Regions from separate parts of the Mus musculus genome. Here regions 2 and 3 are each reported to be linked to region 1. The links are microRNA targets in miRTarBase. Many come from high-throughput screens and were not tested one by one. Region 1 holds a microRNA gene; each other region holds the end of a gene's coding sequence. Distances are between the middles of the regions.

Region 1 (6,008 bases):
AACTTCTGTGGCCTGGACCCAGAGGAAGCGCGAGGATTGGGGGTGGCCCACTTAGCAAGGGCCAGCTCGGACATCGTGTCTCTAGCCGGGCCAAGTGCTGGACCTTGCAGCTCTGAAGGGGGCTGCTCACGCCGCAGCTCTGCTACAGTGGAAGAGCGGTCCCTGGATCGTGTCCCCTATGGGGTGTCTGTGATCGAGCGAAACGCTCGTGTGATCAAGTGGCTATATGGGTTGCGGCAGGCTCGTGACCCTCCCACCACTGAGGGTTAGGCCTCCTGGACTGGGGTTTCCCGGGAAGACATCGTGAAGAGACAGTTGGCACTTTGTCCTTTCCTGTATCCATTGGCTGCCTTCCTGCAGACCCAGAGACTCTTGGGTGAATTTAATGTAGAGGCCAAGACTTAGACCAGCATCCTCTGGCAAGCAAGGACTGACCCACAGAAGTTTGCTGTTGCCCTTGGCCTACCCCACCCCCTAACAAAGTTTGCGACACAAGTGTGCTTCTGCCTGTTTCCTCCGGTGACACTGGATTTGGGTCGCGTACCCTCCACTGAGTTGGGGATCAAGTGCTTTGCCAAGTCTGTCTGCCCCAGGCCCTATTTCCTTCTTCCCTGTCTGTCCTCTTTTGCTGACTTCCTCTTCCTTACCCAGAGGGCCCTTGCTTCCTGGGAACTCACCCCGGGGAGGAGGTTGAGAGGATGGGGCCTGTCTGCTGGTCTTCCTGGTCTTTGGCAGTTGGCCTAGGTGGGTAGACTTGTAGGAGGGACTGGTTAGGAGCCTGGTGCTCTGAAGTCTCTGTGGCTAATAAACACAAATGTTCGTTTTCTCAAGGTTTTGGACTCTTCTCTGCTCACGGGGAAAGGAGTGTGAAAAGTCTTGGGGTAGGGCCTTCAGAATGGAATGAACCAGGATCTGGTGTGCAGGACATCAGTGGTTCTCCTATGCCAGCGTGGGCAGGCCACACGTGAGACGCATCCAGCAGGGGCAACCTCACTTTCTCCAGAAGCCTGCAGGGTCCTCTCTAGGTCAGGAGACAGCTAGCCAGTGAGTGGAACCAGAACCCAGTGGCTTCTTTCTGGAAGGAAGGGGCTTTCAGCGAGAAGGCTGGCAGGAACATCCCTGAGCTGCTGAGCCGTGCTGAGCTGCCAAGGGATGCTCAACCTGAGAAAACCCTCACTCTTGGTCACCAGGCAACAGAGGAGCGGCTGGAGGATGGAGTTCTTAGAGCAAGAGGGACTTGGGAGAGAACAGCCCAGAGTGGTGGCCTTGCCTGTGATCCCAGCCGACCCTGGACAGGCCAGTCTTGCTTCTGTGCCTCAGTGGAGAGCTAGGTGGTATAGTCTTTTGGGGTTGGGACCTTGTATTCTGGAAGTTTTGAAGTAATCTGTATCCCAGTGCCCGGGCCCCGCAGAGCAGCCAACCGTGGATGCTGTGGCTGATGCTGTGGCCGCACATCTGTCCACTCCCCGTTTAGTTTTCCCCAGTGTAGTGGAGCAGCAGGGACCCCTGGGTTCACAAAGGGTGATCTGGGGGATGGCTTGATTGTCCCCCACGGGGGTGGGGGTGGGGCGTGTCTTGGTGATGTTTCCTCCCTGCAGGCTGCCTTGGCTCCAGTCCTCAGAAACAGGAAACATAGGAAGGGGTGGTGGTGACAGGTTGATGATGGTTTTATTTTAAGCATTAAAGAAGAGATTTCCCCTGGGTTGTTGACAAACATGTGGGTCAGCATAGCTGTGTGTTTACCATCAACCCCCAACGTCCAGGGTGGTTTAGAGAAAGAAGGGGAAACTGAGGACACTGCTTCCCACCCCATCTGGAGATGGGTACAGGAGGGCAGTGACCTGGCATACCCTGAAAAGGAGCGGGGTTGGGGAGAGATCCAGGCCAGCCACCCTGCCCCTCTAGATACCCTGCTGGCCTTGGGTCACAGTCTCTTTCTGACTTGTGACCCTCAGTACCCCAGCCACCCAGAAGGGTAGGTGAGCTGGCTGCACTTGGCATGTGAAGAAATGAGGGTTCTGGCAGGGTATTGGTGGCACACACCTACATCCCAGCAGCGGGGAGGCAGAGGCAGATGGACCTCTGTGAACTGGAGGCCAGCCTGGTCTACAGAGCTAGTTCCAGGGCTATTCAAAGAAACCCTGTCTTGAAAAACAAAACAGAAAGATATTAAGGTTTTGGTTTCAGGAACAATAGTGAACCCCAGTTCCTGGAGGAGGGGTTATTTCTGGCCACACCTCTCATCAGATATGTGAGGTGATGTTTGGAGAGGTAGGTGTGGGGTCTGAGAGCAGGAAGTGGAACATGGAGTGGTGGTAAGTTATGGGCAGGATGGTCTTCCAGACACTCTGAAGTAGTCTGCCCCACCCTGGAGCTTCTTCCTCTTCGTGAACTTAAGCTCTCTTCCTTATCAGCTAAGTACCCACTGGGTACCCCTATTAGACATGGTCCTCATCCCAGTGTTCAGGGAGAACAGTTAACCTGATGGAGGAGTCTAAAGCAGAAGGGACATCAGCCCTAAATGTAGAGCTGTGCTTTTCCGTAGCCGAGGACTCTGGAGGCCATTACTGGAAGTGGTGGTGGGCTGGGCCAGGTTTGATTTCTCCCCCAGGTGCTGCCTGGTCTTGGGAAAGTTCTCAGGCTTCTGAGAATTTGCAGGAGCAGAAGGCTGTGAGGTTCCCCTCTTCCTGGCAGCCCTAAGATCTGGGGAGCCAGCTCTTCCATTGTTCTGCCTCCCCCGTGGTGTGAGAATCAGGAGTCTAAGCTCAGGCGCTTCTGCTGCTGTTGTTCAGCTCTACGGAGACCCGACCTGGCAGCTGCTGCCCTGGCTGCCGGGGGCTCCCAGCCAGCCTGGCCCCAGCTGCCGGCTTGCCTAATTAAGGCAGAGACCTGTTTTCTGTTCCTCCCTACTAGCTGACCATACACAAAGGAGCTTGGGAGACTGTGGTTTGGTGATCCATTTCAGTGCTAGAGGTGTAAAAAGCGCCCCCCCCAGCCTCAGTTTACCTTCTGGCAGACAGTAGAGTGCTAGCTGAAGGGGCTGTCTCTGGTGAAATTTTTTTTATTTTTTTATTTTTTTTTTTGCTAACAAGGCATCCCAGGACATCCGGGGCAGACTTCCCCATCTGTCCTGTGCCCTGGGTGCTGGGGAGCACAGAGTAGTGAGGAGTTAGGCTGTTGTCCCCTGAACTCTGAGTCCCCAGAGCGCAGTGGGGACATAGGCTAGAGCATAGTGACAGCTACCCCTGCATGCACAGAGGTGTGTGGTATATCCAGGTGTGGGCAGAGCAACCCTACTAGTTTGGTTTTTGTTTTTTTGGTTTTGTTGTTTTTAGATTATCGTATTTTTTAAATATGAATGTTCTGCTTGCATGTGTGCCTGGTGACTGTGGAGGTCAGAAGAGGGCACTGGGTCCCCTGGAACTGGAATTAGGGATGGATTATGCGGATGCTGGAAATCAAACCCTGGCCCTCTGAAAGAGCAGCAAGCAAACTGCTGGGTCCTCATTCCAGGCCCCCAGCTAGGTTTTTAGCAATAGTGTGTGTTTCAAATAACACCCAAAGTGGCCTGTCTTCCCTGGCTCGTTATTAGAAAAAAACTTGAAAGGTGAAGAAATTATCCAGTGAATACTTAGCCACCCCTGAATGCACTTTAATGTCTCACTGCATTTGTTCTGTTGGGAGTCCATCTGCCCACCCGTCTATCTCTCTCCATTGTAGCAACACTTCTTATAAAGCTTTTCAAAGTAAAATGTGCACACCAACACACCTCCTTCCAGGGTATGATATAACATTATTGTATGTGATGCGTGTGTGTACACATGTCTATACAGGTGCCCTTTTCTGCACATGTACATGTGCCAGCCAGAGGGCCACATCTGTTGCCTGCCTTTGTTACCCTTCATCGTAGTTTTTGAGGAACGGTTTCTGGCTGAAGCTGGAATTCTCTATGTTCAGGTGTGCTAGCTAGCCAGCAAGCCCCTGGGAGCCACCTGTGTGTGTTCCTGCAGTACTGGGGCTGCAGATGTTCACTGGCACGCTCAGTGTCTGTCCCTGACCATCTGCGTGTCACTGCAGTGGACATACAGAGCTGACCTTAGGTCCTCATGCTTGTGCAGCAAACACTTCACTCACTGAGCCATGACTCCAGCCCCATGTATTTATTATTATTATTATTATTATTATTATTTATTATTAAACTATGAAACACACACAGCTCTTTAAAGGCCATCACTTGCTCATCACTTGCTGAGTGATCACTGTGCCCCAGCCCTATTTCCATCATGTGGGAAGTCCCCTTGTTATCCCCTCCCAACGTGCTCCCACCTGCAGCTCCTCCTTACATCTGTATGGGTTAAACAGCCCAATGAAAACATTCAGTCCCTTCCAGATGCTTTCCTCCAAAGCAACCACATTCAGCTCTTTGTTTTTGTTTTTGTTTTTTCCAGGTACCTGCCTCGGTATTTCTAAGGAGCCCCCCCACCCTGGGTTAATTTTGGACAAATAGTGATTGGTTTTGCCATCTATTGTCTTCATAGAGAGTGCAACAGCCTGCTGGCCTGCCCCAGTTCCTCCCTTCCCCTCACTGGTCATGTGGTCAGTTTTCATTTGTAAGCAGTCATGAGCTTTCAGGTGATTGAGTTGTTGGGAGGACTTGCACACAGGTGCTTAGCATGATGCACACATGTGCTTAGAATGATACACGTATGTGCTTAGCGTGATGCATGAGCCCGGGTTCAAACTTCCTTTTGATTGATATCAAGGAAGTTAGCCTTTATTCACCTACTCTTCTAACTTGATGTGAACCACAATTTTTCATTGCACAATATTTCTGTCACAACTCTACAAATACTGTCTCACATCCCTTTGCATCTCATGTCTCCTCTGCATGTCCTCTCTTGTACCGATCATTGTTTTTCCACGGGTCGCTGTTTGCTTTGCTTTTTTTGTTTGCTTGGTGCCTCCTAACCCGGCCATAGTTCCCTCAGTTTCCCCAGAGTGGTACGACAGACAGTGGTTCATTTATTGGTTTTAGTTTCCCTTGAGGGGGAAAGTTTCTCTTCCCAGGTGCTTTTGAATAAACCCCCGTCCTTTACATTGAAGCCACTTAAAAAAAAAAAGTCCTAGATCTGTAGAAAAATTGTAAGAGAAGCGAGCCCTGAGGACCCATAGTGCGCTGGAAGCAAGGGTCCTGTGGTGGAAGCCTAGAGAAAAGGTGGGTTTGGACCTGGAGCTGGACCTTGGCACACGGAGCTGTCGGGGAGCCTTGAGCCCATTCTGTCAGGCAGCCTGGACTACATCCTCACGGTCAAAGTCTTGACCAAAGGCTTGACCAGGGTCACGACCTTGACCCTGTTTCTCCTCCACACTCCATGCTACCTCCCTAGTATTCCAGGAGTGCAGCACACATTTCTCTCCAGCGCCTTTGTACCTGCTGCCTTCTTACCAAGGCTGGAGACCCACACGATTCATTTTCTCCTTTATCCTATGTCTGGGTTACCTCCTCAGGGAGCTCTGTCCTGTTACCTGAAGCCCACACATAACCAGCAGCAGTGGTGGTCTCTGTGCCACCTGCTGTAGTTTACCCGGGATGTGGGATGTGTTACGTGGAGGTTGTGCGCTGTCAGTCTCACTAGAACTCCGCCTCCCCAATCCAGCAGGAGGCAGGGAGTTAGTTCTCTTTGCTCTGTTGTCCCCAGCTTGGCCGGAGGATAAATGACAGAGTGAGTGGGTTCAGGTTCTAGCCCGGTGACAGTCTTTCTTCTTCCTGTTCTATCTTTCCCCATTTGTATCATAAAGCCAGAGAGCAACCCCGGACTGGCAAACTTAGCCCCCGGCTGTGAGGAGCGAAGTCTGTGGGAGGGCAGAGTTGGCCTTCTGCCTGGCCCCTGAGGTTTGAAAATAGCGCAGCATGACCCCTAATGAGGCCCCTATCCTCTTACCGTGTCCTGCTGGAGCCGGGTTTCTGTCTGGAGCCTCCTGCCTGGCGCTGGGCTGAAGTCTGCGGA
Region 2 (6,008 bases), not on the chromosome of region 1:
CAAACTAACCAGAGCTTGGGCAGCCTCCTCCTCCACAGTCCTCCCGTTCCCTCTTCCTCCTCTGCTCTCCATTCCCTACTTCCACATAGTCCCCTCTTCACTGCTCAGCAAGGTTGCCATTTTGGAATTCTGTAGTCCTCTCCAGCTAACCACCCTCCTGGCCTCAAAGTCTAATTCCATCTTTCACCGGGAGGAGAACGACGGAGTCCCTTCTTCGTCTTGTATGGAGGACATGAGGCAGTGGCTGACATGTTTGTGATTCAGTTTTCCGTTCTGAGCTTTTACGACATGATTGTCCCCTATTATTTCCTCTTCATGCAGGGTGGGTAATCAGGGGGCGTGAGCTGCAAGTCCAGATCTTTGATTCTGAGTCTTCAGCCACGGGACGGGCCCTGCTTGTCTGCAGCCTTGCAGAAAGAGCTGCAGACTTGTGCTGCATGGTTGACGTGTGCTCGTAGCTCTGTAAACGATCCACTCAATTGTCACAGATCCTGTGAAACAGAGACAGTGCTGCTGCTTATATTCAAGTGAAGGGACTGAGGTTGACAGAAATGAGATGCAGGTTATACAAGTGACCGCTAGCCTACTGCTGTGTGAGTGAGGCTTCTCGCCATGGGTAAATTATAACATTCTGGGCGAGAGTCTGTTTGTTTTGCTTTCATTTATTTTATTTTTTATTTATATGTGTACACTGCAGCTGTCTTCAGACACACACTGGAAGAGGGCATCGGATTCCATTACAGATGGTTGTGAGCCACCATGTGGTTGCTGGGAATTGAACTCAGGGTCTCTGGCAGAGCAGTCAATGCTCTTAACCACTGAGCCATCTCTCCAGCCCTTGCTTTTCGTTTCTTTTCCTTCTTTTTAATCATCCAGTTGTTTATTTTATTTTATTACTTAGCCCCCGCTGGCCTTAAAATCACCACGTGGCTCTGGATGACCCTGAACACTGATGCTCTTGTATCCGCTTCCTGGTTGCTCCAGGTTACAGGCTCGTACCATCAGAACCCTGCACTGGTTAAGCACTCTGTCAGCTGAATGCCAGCCCCAGCCCTTAGTACTGTTTGAGAACCTATATATTCGCTTATGACACTGTACCTCTTAGAAACACAGATGAGTAATAGACACGCTTTTCAGATGCCCAGTGGAGCGCCAGAATAGAAGCAGGATGAACATCCCATTTCGCATTGGCAACGCCAAAGGAGACGAAGCTTTGGAAAAGCGGTTTCTTGACAAGGCGGTAGAACTCAACATGATCTCCTTGAAGGGGCACAGGTAAGCACACCTTGTCCCCAGGCCTGTCAGAGGCAGAAAGAATAAAACCCAGGACCTTACACGGCCTGGGGTAGTGGTTATAGACTTGCTGGAGAATAAGCCGCTTCTGGCTGGGTTGCGGTGCATTTTGCACGGGGGTTTCATCAACACTGAAGGTGCCCCTGGTAGGGCTGCCTGCTTCACTCTGGTGTTAACAGACCATCACTGGGCTCAGTTGAACATCAGATACTGTGACCAGGAGACCAGCAGCAGAGTGCTCTATGTGGTTAGAACTGTTGCATAGTGTAGTGAGTGGCATGGCCCCAAACCCAGTCACCCTCCTCCTCTGAGTCCCCTTCCTCCTATTTGGTTTCTTCTTTATCAAAGGTGAATAGTTTGGGTGTGATCAAAGTCCAGTGTATGCATCTCTGGAAATGCCACAGTGAAACCCATTAATTTGTACAAATAACAAGCCAATGAATGAGACTAAAAACTAGATTGAGGTAATTCAGTGGGTAGATGATCTTCACCGTACAAGGGATTTCCTAATGACTGAAGCTTCATGCTGCCTGCTGGGGATGCTTTCGGGTGCAAACTTGAGCACCCGGGCTGGGAGCTGCCGCTCTCCGGAGGGGTAGCTAGTGAAGGGTGTGTTGTGCTCAAGCAGACGCCTTTTGCATTGCACGTTTTTCTATGTTGTTGAGGTTCAAACCTGGAGCCCTACGTATGTGAGGGCTTTAACCCAGATTTGCTCTCTTCCATTTTCTTGGTCTCACTGGACGGGCCTCTGTTGTTCTAGGTCAGTGGGAGGCATTCGTGCCTCTCTGTATAACGCTGTCACAACCGAAGACGTTGAGAAGCTGGCGGCCTTCATGAAGAATTTCTTGGAGATGCATCAGCTGTGAACATGACCAGCCACGCTCTGCCTGTGAGCAGCACGCAGCGTCGTTTAGAGTAACTTGGGATTGACTACAGAAACTTAACAGACATGGATTTTTTTTTCCCAAATACATGCTTATTACAGATTCCTTTCTCAAAGAATAACGACTAAACATCAGGGCACTGCAGAGCTGAGGAAACTCCCAGCTAACAGCCACCTTCATTCTCATGTGACCTGGAAGCATTTTGAAAGCTTTCTTTCCTGTTGCTCTTCTAAATGAATTCAGCCTGTCAGCCATCTTTGCTGCCCCCTTCTCTAGGTGGACTGCCTTGGGCTTTGCCCTGCTGGTTCCAACTGGTTATTATTAGGAGGTTGGAGGCCCTGTGGGCTGGATTGACAGCAGTGAGTTTGCTGGGTTCTGCAGCAGTTGGTTCAAGTCAACAGCGACTCACGAGCGTTTTGGATCTGTGTACTGCAATTCCCATAAAGAGATAGGTGTGTTATGCTGTGTTTATGTAGTGGGTATTGTTTTAAACACCGTACGGTTTATGCCTATGCCTTTATATTTCTAATGAAACAGTTTTGTTCAGCCCATGACTTTGTGCATGACTGTCGTCCGTTCTAGTCACCTGTGCTCTCCATCTACTGCCTTTTAAAGCTGCGTCATGAGAAGGATCTACACGTTCCACCATGACTCTCGTTTCTTGCCACAAGTAGAAGAAATGGTTGATTCTTTGCTTTTCGGTTAGGCCGTTAAACAAAACTCAGTCACACCCCTGCCTTCCACCCTCAAACTGTGATCACGTGGCTGTTCTTGTAGTTTAACCAGGGCAACACTATATATTCCAGGTCTATACATTGCTGAGGTCTTTTTCTGGTTGTTCATGTATCAGTGTTTTCAATCGACTGCATGGAAAACATTAAAGTCCTAAGTCATCTAAGCCATTCATTGCCTGTGAATTATTCTGCTTGCTTTTTTAGTCAGGTGCTGCTTTTAAACATTCTGATGGGGAGCCTAGGGTTTAAAATTAGCCTGTGATAGGGTAGTGTAGTCTAGACAAAGGTGTCAGGCTTCGTTCTTGTGCAACTCAGTGTGGTTGCTTGCCTTTTACTTTGGAACAAACACTGTCAGCAGAGTCCCTTCCAGCACAGCTCCCAGGGAAGAGTTTTGTGAACTCTGTCCCAGTTAGCCCAGAAAAAAAAGGCAGCAGAACAGCTTTGCGCTCATCCTGTTGCATTCGATTGCACAAGGGGAAGACACTGATTGCTTGGTTTCTCCGGTCAGGTTCCACCAGCTCATTGGTGAAGAGTTGAAATAAGACCCAACATTGCAGGATGTTTGCATTTAAAACAAGCTCTTACTTTGTATGCCCCAGTACAGGGGAACACCAGGGCCAAAAGGTGGAGTGGGTGGGTAGGGGAGTGGGGGTGGGTGGGTATGGGGGACTTTTGGTATAGCATTGGAAATGTAAATGAGCTAAATACCTAATAAAAAATGGAAAAAAACAAAAAAACAAAAAAACAAGCTCTTTTCCTCTGTCAATGCCAAGAGCCCAGTTTGATCATTCTGGGTCACAAACAGCACTAGTGCTCAGAGTTAAGCCCCCTTTCCACGTGTGTGTGAACCCCCATTTTCTCTATTTTAACCCTTCATGGCACAGCCAGTCTTGCTGTGGAAACCCTGGGATCGTTTCAGCATCTCGTCTCTGTTCCTTCCGCTCCTCTCGCCACAGCCGCTGGGACTGACTTCCTCTCTGCTCAGTGTGTGGATGCTCGAGTGACCCAGGCTTCTTAGTGTGGCTGTCAGTGCTTGCCGTCATCTGCCTGGCTTCCTGTCTCTTGTGCTAACGAGTGTTCCTGTTACTTGTTTGCCCATACCACACTAAGCAGACCAGCCTTCTCTTCCTAGAGATCTGCTAGTCTCTGCTTTCTGTTCTCTTTCCTGCTCTTTTCCTTGTTCTGCAGAGGTTTGTTTTTTATTCGCAGGACCATTTCTCTTTGTGATGCTGGGGTGGCTGCTTGTCTGTCCTGCACTTAGATGCTCAGACTGCCTAATGAACATAGAGCACGGTTTCTTCGTATTGCAAACAGCTTGGGGCAGTAAAGGCAGAATGCAGTCTCAGCACATGGATTGGATCAAATATCAGAAGCTTAGTGTACAGTGCAATTCATCTGCTGAACGACTGACTGCGATTCTCTGATCCAGAGGGGAGATTGCAAGAATCATCTTTACCGTTTGAAAGCTTTTGGAGGTAGCCAGTTGTCTGTCTCGCATGGTAGACTCTGGAGCACAGATCTTAGAAAACAACCAGAGCATAAAATGTGACCTTTGTTTGCTGTAAGAGATCAGCTGAGGCCAGTCTGTTGGGCGGGCGCAGGGAGCGTGGGGGGGGTGGGGGGGGGTGCTAGGGATGCAGCAGCTGACTAGGCTTTGGGGTGCGAACCTGCTGGCCTGTCCCTGAAGGTTTAGAAGCAGGACATCAGAGGAGACTTTGGGGCCCCTGTGAGGCTAGGTGAAGGACTGCCTCTTGTTCTATGGGATCTTCTAAACTGATTCTGAAGTTTTATTTTTCTCTTTCAAAGTTCTTTACCCACATATGTGTCCTGATGTCATCTCAGTGGGGGGCAGGGGGAAGCTTCGTGTATGTTCTGTTTAAGCTGCATTAAATAGGAGTCTTTTCTATCAAATACTATAGAGCCTGCGATGATGACGAAGAATTAAATCTTTTCATGTGTCCCACTTCATAAGAATTTTTATGCAAATCCCCCATACCTCAACCCAGTAAAATCAGTAAAACCTTGGTTTACACAAAAGCCCTGCTACATTCTCAACTTAAAGTGACTGGTCGTGTCATCCCCCGCCCCCCCCTCCTCCGGTTTCCTGTACACCAGTTCTTTTCAGACTGGCCAACTGAATAAGAGTGAATAAAGTTCAACCTCAGCCAGTGGGAAGAGACACAGTCACCACCTAAGTTAAAATGAAAATCGAGTGCACTTCCTCTGCTTACCTTCTGAGCACATACCCCTAGAAGGCGGTAAGTTATGCCTGGTCTGTTCCTTGGTCAGGCTCCTTGGTCTCTTTCTTTGTGATCCCAACACCCATGTACTCACTTTCCACATCATGGTGACTCCAGTACTGCAGTTAAAGAAAAGTCTTTGCACAAGAAGGCATTGAAATCTGTCCCTAGCTCTTCCTTTCCCTGTTAGATTCCTGTTATTGGGAGACACAGCCAGTGTCTTGTCATCACCCTGTGACCCTGGTGCTAGGAGACTTGGCATGCACTTGTGTGAGCTGAGGGAGTGATTTTCCCCCTCTCTTTAGTGCTGAAACAACCAATAAGACCATAAAGACAGACAAGCAGTGTCGAGAGCTCACTGTGCTACAGCTCTCTATACCCAAATAGGGCAAAATGGCAACCAACAGATTGGGAGATCTTTACCAATCCTACATCTGATAGAGGGCTAGTGTAGTGGCTATTCCTGGTTGACAACTTGACTATATTTGGAATGAACTACAATCCAGAATTGGAAGGCTCACCAGTGATCCTAATCTGGAGGCTGGGAGATAAGAAGTTTCTGATCTGGATCTTGGTATGGAGATCTTGAGGCACAGTGGCTATAGATTCCAGAAGATTAAGACAGGGAGATCTCCGAGTTCAAGGTCATCTGGGATTAAAGGTGTGTTCCACCTTTAATCTGGGCTACACCTTCTGCTGGAGACCATATAAGGACATTGGAAGAAGGGAGTCTCTCGCTCCTTCGCCTGCTTGCTGTGTGGGACTGAGTAACTGCTAGATCCTTGGACTTCCATTCACAGCTACTACTGAACCATTGTTGGGAATTGGACTGCAGACTGTAAGTCATCAATAAATTC
Region 3 (6,008 bases), 29 Mb from region 1:
AGTTACACAAGTTGGTCTTGAATCTTTTGTGGTGAAAATGCCCTTGAACTTTTGATTCTCCTCTTTCTACCTCCTAAATAATAGGAACTTGGGTATGCATCACCAAACCTGGTGTATGCACTGTTGGGGATGAAACTCAAGATGTCACGTGTGTTAGGAAAGTGCTCTGCCAACTGAGCTGCAGTCCCAGCCTCTGAGCTATTTAAAAGAACTCTTAAATCCTTTCAGTCCTTACCTTTGACTATATGAGATAAGATTCCATTCCACCAGACCTTTGGAAGGCACTTTGAAAAAGCATCCATCAACAAGCTGCATGTGGGGATGTATACCTTTAGTCTCCGCACTAGGAGGCAGAGGCACAGGCAGGTGGATCTCCGAGTTTATGGCCAGCCTGGGCTATAGAGCTAGTTCCAGGATGACCAGGGCTGCACAGAGAAACCCTGTCTCAGAAAACAAAACAATAATGATCCATCAGCTTTCTCTCCCTATTTTTCTTTTTCATAATTTAGAACAAGTCCTATGTTAGCCTTCAGTGACTATTCTCTCTAAATGATAATGTATAACCTTACCACAAATGGAGTTTCCCTGAACGCTTTGCACGTAGGTGGTTTTCCTTGTTATTTCTAGTGGTTCTAATTACATATGTTGTTATTCTTAACTCTTAGAGTCCCTAGCACCCACGAGCTATGGTAGCCAACATGCCACTGAAGAAAACCTTTGTGGGCACTGTAGTAGGATGCCCTTCATTGCACAGCTCTGCATACTATAGACCCAAGCACAACTACCTCCATTCTGTGTAAAAACAGGAGGCCATAGCAGATCAGCCTAAGCTTGTTTCCTTAGGAATGACCCCAAAGCTGATTTGTTAACTACATCTCTCAAGCCTGAACAAACTTAAGGTTGTGGGATGCTTTTTATAAATTAAAATTACTGTTGAGGAGTTCATTTAGCTTTCACTCCACTTACATTTCTGTCCACTCAACAGTTACAGGCGTGTTACAAGGTATCAGCACTAAAATTGCTCTTGTTAACAAGTCAGGCAAATGTCACCAACACCACAAAAGCAAGACCATCCCCTTCGTCCCTTCCTCTATTCTACCCTTGGGTTTCATTTCTCCTTTTAGCATTTTAAATACTCAGTAGAATGAAACTTGTTTAAACCCTGGTAAGAAAAAAAAAGTCTATCTCAGTAGCTCTCAACCTTTGGGTTGTAACCTCTTTGACAAAAGGGAATTCTATCTCCAAAAATATTCATAATTCATAACAGTAGCAAAATTACAGTTACGGAGTAGCAACAAAAGTAATTTTATGGTTAGATGTCACCACAATATGAGGAACTGCATTAAAGGGTCGCAGAATTAGGAAGGTGAGAACAACTGGTCTAGCTATACTGTGTTCATGTTGGACAGGTCTGGAAACATTCCTGTTTTTTATTTTACATTATTCTAGATCATGTGATCTTTAAGAACATTTGACTTTGTTTCTATATTTCTGAGAGATTTTAGGGATATTTAATGAGCACTCATCTCTAGACCAGTCCAAACAGAACTGTAAGAGATTTTTTTTTTGTTTTTTTTTTTTTATTTTGTTGTTTCCTTGTTTTTGAGACAGGGTCACTCTTTGCATGTTAGAACTCTGTAGACCAGGCTGCTCCCAAACACACAGATATACCTGAATCTGCTTCACAAGTGCTGGGATTAAAGAAGTGTACCAGGGTTGTCCCCTCTATAACTGGGGGAAGGACTCTACAAACAGCCAAATGTACACGGTCCCTATAGCTTTAATTTTAGAACGTTTAGTCCTGATTCAGTTTATGTCCACTTGGATTTTTATACAAATTTTGTTCTTTTTTATTTATTTTTGTTTTTATGAAACAGGGTCTCCCTGTGTAGCTCTGGCTGCCCTGAAATTTGCTACATAGACCAGGCTGGCCTGGAACTCACAGAGATCTGCCTACCTCTGTCTCTCAAGTGCTAGGATTAAAGATGTGCACCACCAAGCCCAGTCCAAATTCTGTTCTTGGTGAAAATGAAAGGTTCAGTTACTGAGAGAGGGGAAATTTTTGATGAATGTCTATGCAAAAGACTTTATTCAAAGGTTTTCATTTGCCCTGTTTCCAAACATTTTCCTGTGCTCTCCCTATCTAGTGACGACGTTACATCCCAGAGAGCTGCTTTACAGGAAGCAGTACAGAAAGTGTCATCTCTAGGATACAGAGAGGATGTTTCTGTAAGGAAGGTTGCGGCATCTTCACCTGTTGTGAGAGGGCAATCTGGACGTGGCTGTAGACATGTCATCAGAGAATTATGCCCACTTCCAGTCAGGTAGCCTCGGGTACGTGCTTTTGGGATACTCCCCCTCAGAACTGGGGTTCTAATCTCCAAGTACATAAGGAGATGAAATGGAGAACAGATAGCCTGTCTAGCCTTTATGGGTCAAGTATGGGTTCAAAAGCACTGAAGACACATGAGGGAGAGCAGCCTTGGACCAGAGCCATCTTGGAAAACTCGGGTCCAAATGGGAATCAGAGGATGGCACAGGATATAAGGGTATCCTGCCTCAGGAACCCAGGGCAAAAGCATCTCTGAAGGGAAAGGACACGGAGCTCTGAAAGTAAACACCAGACTCACAAGCTCAGACCGAGTTTGACTTTAGAAACAAGTGCAGAGCCTCGGGCAGAGATGCAGAAGAGCTGCCTCTGCCCACATGGTTAAGAATCCTGGCTCTGCCAGGCAACAACAGTAGCACATGCCTTTAATCCCAGCACTTGGGAAGCAGAGGCAGGTGGATCTCTGTGAATTTAATGCCATCCCGGTCTACAGAATGACTTCCTGGACAGCCAGAGCTACATAGAGAAAACCTGTCTTGGAAAAAGCAAACAAGAAAATCTCCTGGCTCTTACTGACTCCATCGTCTTCCCTCTGCTTCTGCGGACCCCAGGTGATTGGGTATCTCAAGCACTCACTCCCCACTGGGCACCGGAAACCACAAAGCAGAAATTTCATATCCATTTATCTCTGTCTTCAACTTTCTAGGTGAGGATCCTCCAACAAAACCAAGGTTATAAAGAGAAAATCATGTAAACTTGTTCTGGGTTGTATGTGGCATAAGATCCTGCAGAATTAAGGTGCTAAAGGGTAGGGTATGTGTTTGTGGACAGTCAAGCTCCAAAAGTGGTATGAAAAGAACTCCACAAGGCCTGTTGCCTAGACTCTTCTTGGCTTCTCTGTCACATGAAGTCTTCACAGGAGAAGGGAGGAAGAAGCCAGAGAGTGACTTTCTGGATTTTGTGTATTGCCTCCTGGAGGAGGGAAAGGAAGCCGGGTTGCGCACGCCTTTGATCCCAGCACTTGGGAGGCAGAGGCAGGCAGATTTCTGAGTTTGAGGCCAGCCTCCTCTACAAAGTGAGTTCCAGGAGAGCCAGGGCTATACAGAGAAACCCTGTCTCGAAACCCCCCCCCCCCAAAAAAGGGAAAGGAGCCTCTTTACTCTTTCCTTGACAAAACGCAGTATTTGAGGTATGTTTGGTATGTTTCCTATCCCTTCATCTCAGTAAACTGAAGGATGGTTCATGCCTTCAATAGAAGTCCAGGATAATCACGAGGCCCTCTTCTGTGGGTCCTGGCCACGTCCAAGGAGCTCAGACCAGGTTCTCATACCTGGTGATACCTGTGAGTTTCTCACACAGGTCTTTGAAGCAAGGTCTCTGCTTGGGGTCTCTGCTCCAGCAGCTGAGCATCAGCTTGTGTATGTTGGGTGGGCACTCCAGAGGGCAGGGCATGCGGTAGCCGGCATCCACCCTCAGGAAGGTTTCATGATTGGACATGCCTGTGGCCCATGGGAGAAGAGAAATGAGAGCTAGGAGACTGATCCCTGGAAGCCACACCCAGCTTCCTTTGGCTCCTCCCTGAATGCTGACCCCTGCTAGAATGACCACCATCATGCCCTGGACATGTTGTAGCACACTGTCCATGGATGTTCCCTTCCCTGTGGATGGTGTCTCCCAGAAATGATCCCAAAAGCATGCTCCCAGATGCTCGAGGAATGAAACAGGGGTGGGGTCTGGTTGAGGCCCTGGGAAACACCTCCTGTCATCTCTGTCACCCATTCAAGACCTGCCCTGACTCTAGCTCACTATTTGTCCACCCCTGGAGACATTCTTGGGGCAATACCTGGGTAGGGCATCTGCCCCCTGCTGAAAATTTCATGAAGAAGAACTCCAAAAGACCAGACATCAGACTTGATGGAGTAATGCCCTCGGGAAAGTGCCTCAGGTGCTGTCCATTTGTAGGGGACATTGTGCTCATGGGAAAGGTAGATGTCCTCCTGTGGTAAGATGTCTTATGGTAGGACCTGACACTAGAGAGAGCTGCCACTTGTACCCTTCTTGTGTAGCACTGACAAGCATGGACTCCAAGGTCCTGGTGAGCAGGGACAACCACATTGCCTATTGCTGTCTGACCCACTAACACCACCCCACTGCTACCATGGGTAGCTACCACCAATGCTGCCAGAATCATGGCTAGGCCCAGTAAATATGCCAATTCACTAGAATTCTGGGTCAGGGAAAGACAAGAGCAGAGTTACAATGCATGAATACAGGAAAATCTCTAGGTACATGGCTATGTCTGTCTAGGTTCTCAAAGCTAGATCAGTAGGGTATGAACAAGGCTGTGGCTGTATAGATAAAGCCATCTTGCTTGCCTATTAACGCCACCCTATCAGGAACCCATCTTGCTTATGGCTAGGTTCAGCTCAAGGCTTGGGAGATAAAGCCCCACCTCCTGCTTCTGTCTCCTACCTCCAAGGGACCTACCTTGACAAGCCTGGCAAGCCCAAAGTCCCCCACTTTGCAGAGATTGTTCTCTGTAACAAGAACGTTCCTTGCAGCCAGGTCACGGTGGATGTAATTCTGAGATTCCAGGTAGCACATGCCCTCAGCAACCTGTGATGCAAAGTCCACCAGCTCCAAAATAGGCAGGGCTTTCTCATCAGAGTCTGTAGGGTGATCAAAGGCCAGAGTCAGCTGGCCAGAGACCAGTCCTCATTTACTGTGGCTACGAAGGCTACAGCAAAGAGCAGCTGGCTTGGCTTAATTGCAAAATGGGAAGGCCTAGACCTTCTGCAGCTATGTACCTAGAGACAAAGAGCATATTCTTTGTCTGACACCCTTTCTGGGAATCATAAAGCAATCTAAGGTCAAGAGCATTGCTGCAAGATATTCTTGGTATGTAGCCATTGAACACTCTAGATAATGCGCAGCCAGCAAGTACTACACCTACAAGGGGCATGAGTTTCATCTCTGGAGACTTCTTCCTGCAGAAACTGCTTATGAGATCAAGCTCTTTATGAGAAACACAAAGAAAGAGAGAGAATTTAGAATTTAGAGAGAAGCTGGTGGGCTAAGGCAAGTCACTAGCAGGCTACACAAGCCTATAGTAAAGTAACCTCAGCTAACTGTGAGGATAGAAATTGTGAGGGAGAGTTCTTTTCTGTACTTTTTCAAATTTTATGATCAGCAATTGGTAGATTTTTTTTGTACTTAATAAGACCATTTACTTGTCTCTTTTGTTATGTATGTATGTATGATGTGTGTGTGTATGTATGTGGAAGTCAGAGGACAACATCGGGTGTTAGTCTTCACCAGTGACGTGTTCCAGGATGGTTTTGTGGTTTGCTACTGAGCCAGATAAAACAAGAATTCTCCCATTGCCTCCCATCTCACCGTAGAAGCCTAGGGGTAACAGAAGCCCGCTCCTGTGCTTGCCTTTACACTAACTAGTTCTGAGGATTCAGACTCAGGTAACAGAAGCCCACTCCTGTGCTTGCCTTTACACTAACTAGTTCTGGGGACTCAGACTCAGGTCCTCGTGCCTGCCTAGCAAGCACTTCACCCACTGAGCCATCTCTCCCACCATTGGTTTTTTTTTTTTTTTTTTAACGATTTGTATGTATGAGGCAATGTAGCATGTGTGATGTAATGCATGTACTCATTATTAAGGGTGTGT

Evidence for each region. The annotated mature microRNA mmu-miR-1953 reads UGGGAAAGUUCUCAGGCUUCUG and lies in region 1 at 2,626-2,647, shown strand. An mRNA with a match to its seed (bases 2 to 7 or 8) in the 3' UTR can be bound and repressed. Matches are read on the target gene's strand: a 7mer-m8 pairs with bases 2 to 8, a 7mer-A1 pairs with bases 2 to 7 and ends in A, and an 8mer does both.
Region 2: the mRNA of Psat1 is a reported target of mmu-miR-1953. Seed matches in the 3' UTR shown: 7mer-A1 at 2,254-2,260.
Region 3: the mRNA of Ptk6 is a reported target of mmu-miR-1953. Seed matches in the 3' UTR shown: 7mer-m8 at 3,471-3,477 and 7mer-m8 at 3,310-3,316.

The regions. Positions count from the first base shown.
Region 1 is chr2:151,964,220-151,970,227 of GRCm38, reverse strand. It overlaps Mir1953 (microRNA 1953), which reads left to right and starts at 2,611; the gene lies at 2,611-2,699. It overlaps Fam110a (family with sequence similarity 110, member A), which reads left to right. Exons shown (of 2, transcript NM_146127.3): 2 at 1-832. The coding sequence ends at 270.
Region 2 is chr19:15,902,197-15,908,204 of GRCm38, reverse strand. Psat1 (phosphoserine aminotransferase 1) reads left to right here. Exons shown (of 9, transcript NM_177420.2): 8 at 1,138-1,275; 9 at 2,054-3,082. The coding sequence ends at 2,159. Among named protein-coding and RNA genes, the nearest start is that of Psat1, 20 kb to the left of the region's middle.
Region 3 is chr2:181,192,129-181,198,136 of GRCm38, forward strand. It overlaps Ptk6 (PTK6 protein tyrosine kinase 6), which reads right to left. Exons shown (of 8, transcript NM_009184.2): 6 at 4,817-4,998; 7 at 4,173-4,326; 8 at 2,996-3,828. The coding sequence ends at 3,641. Among named protein-coding and RNA genes, the nearest start is that of Ptk6, 7.7 kb to the right of the region's middle.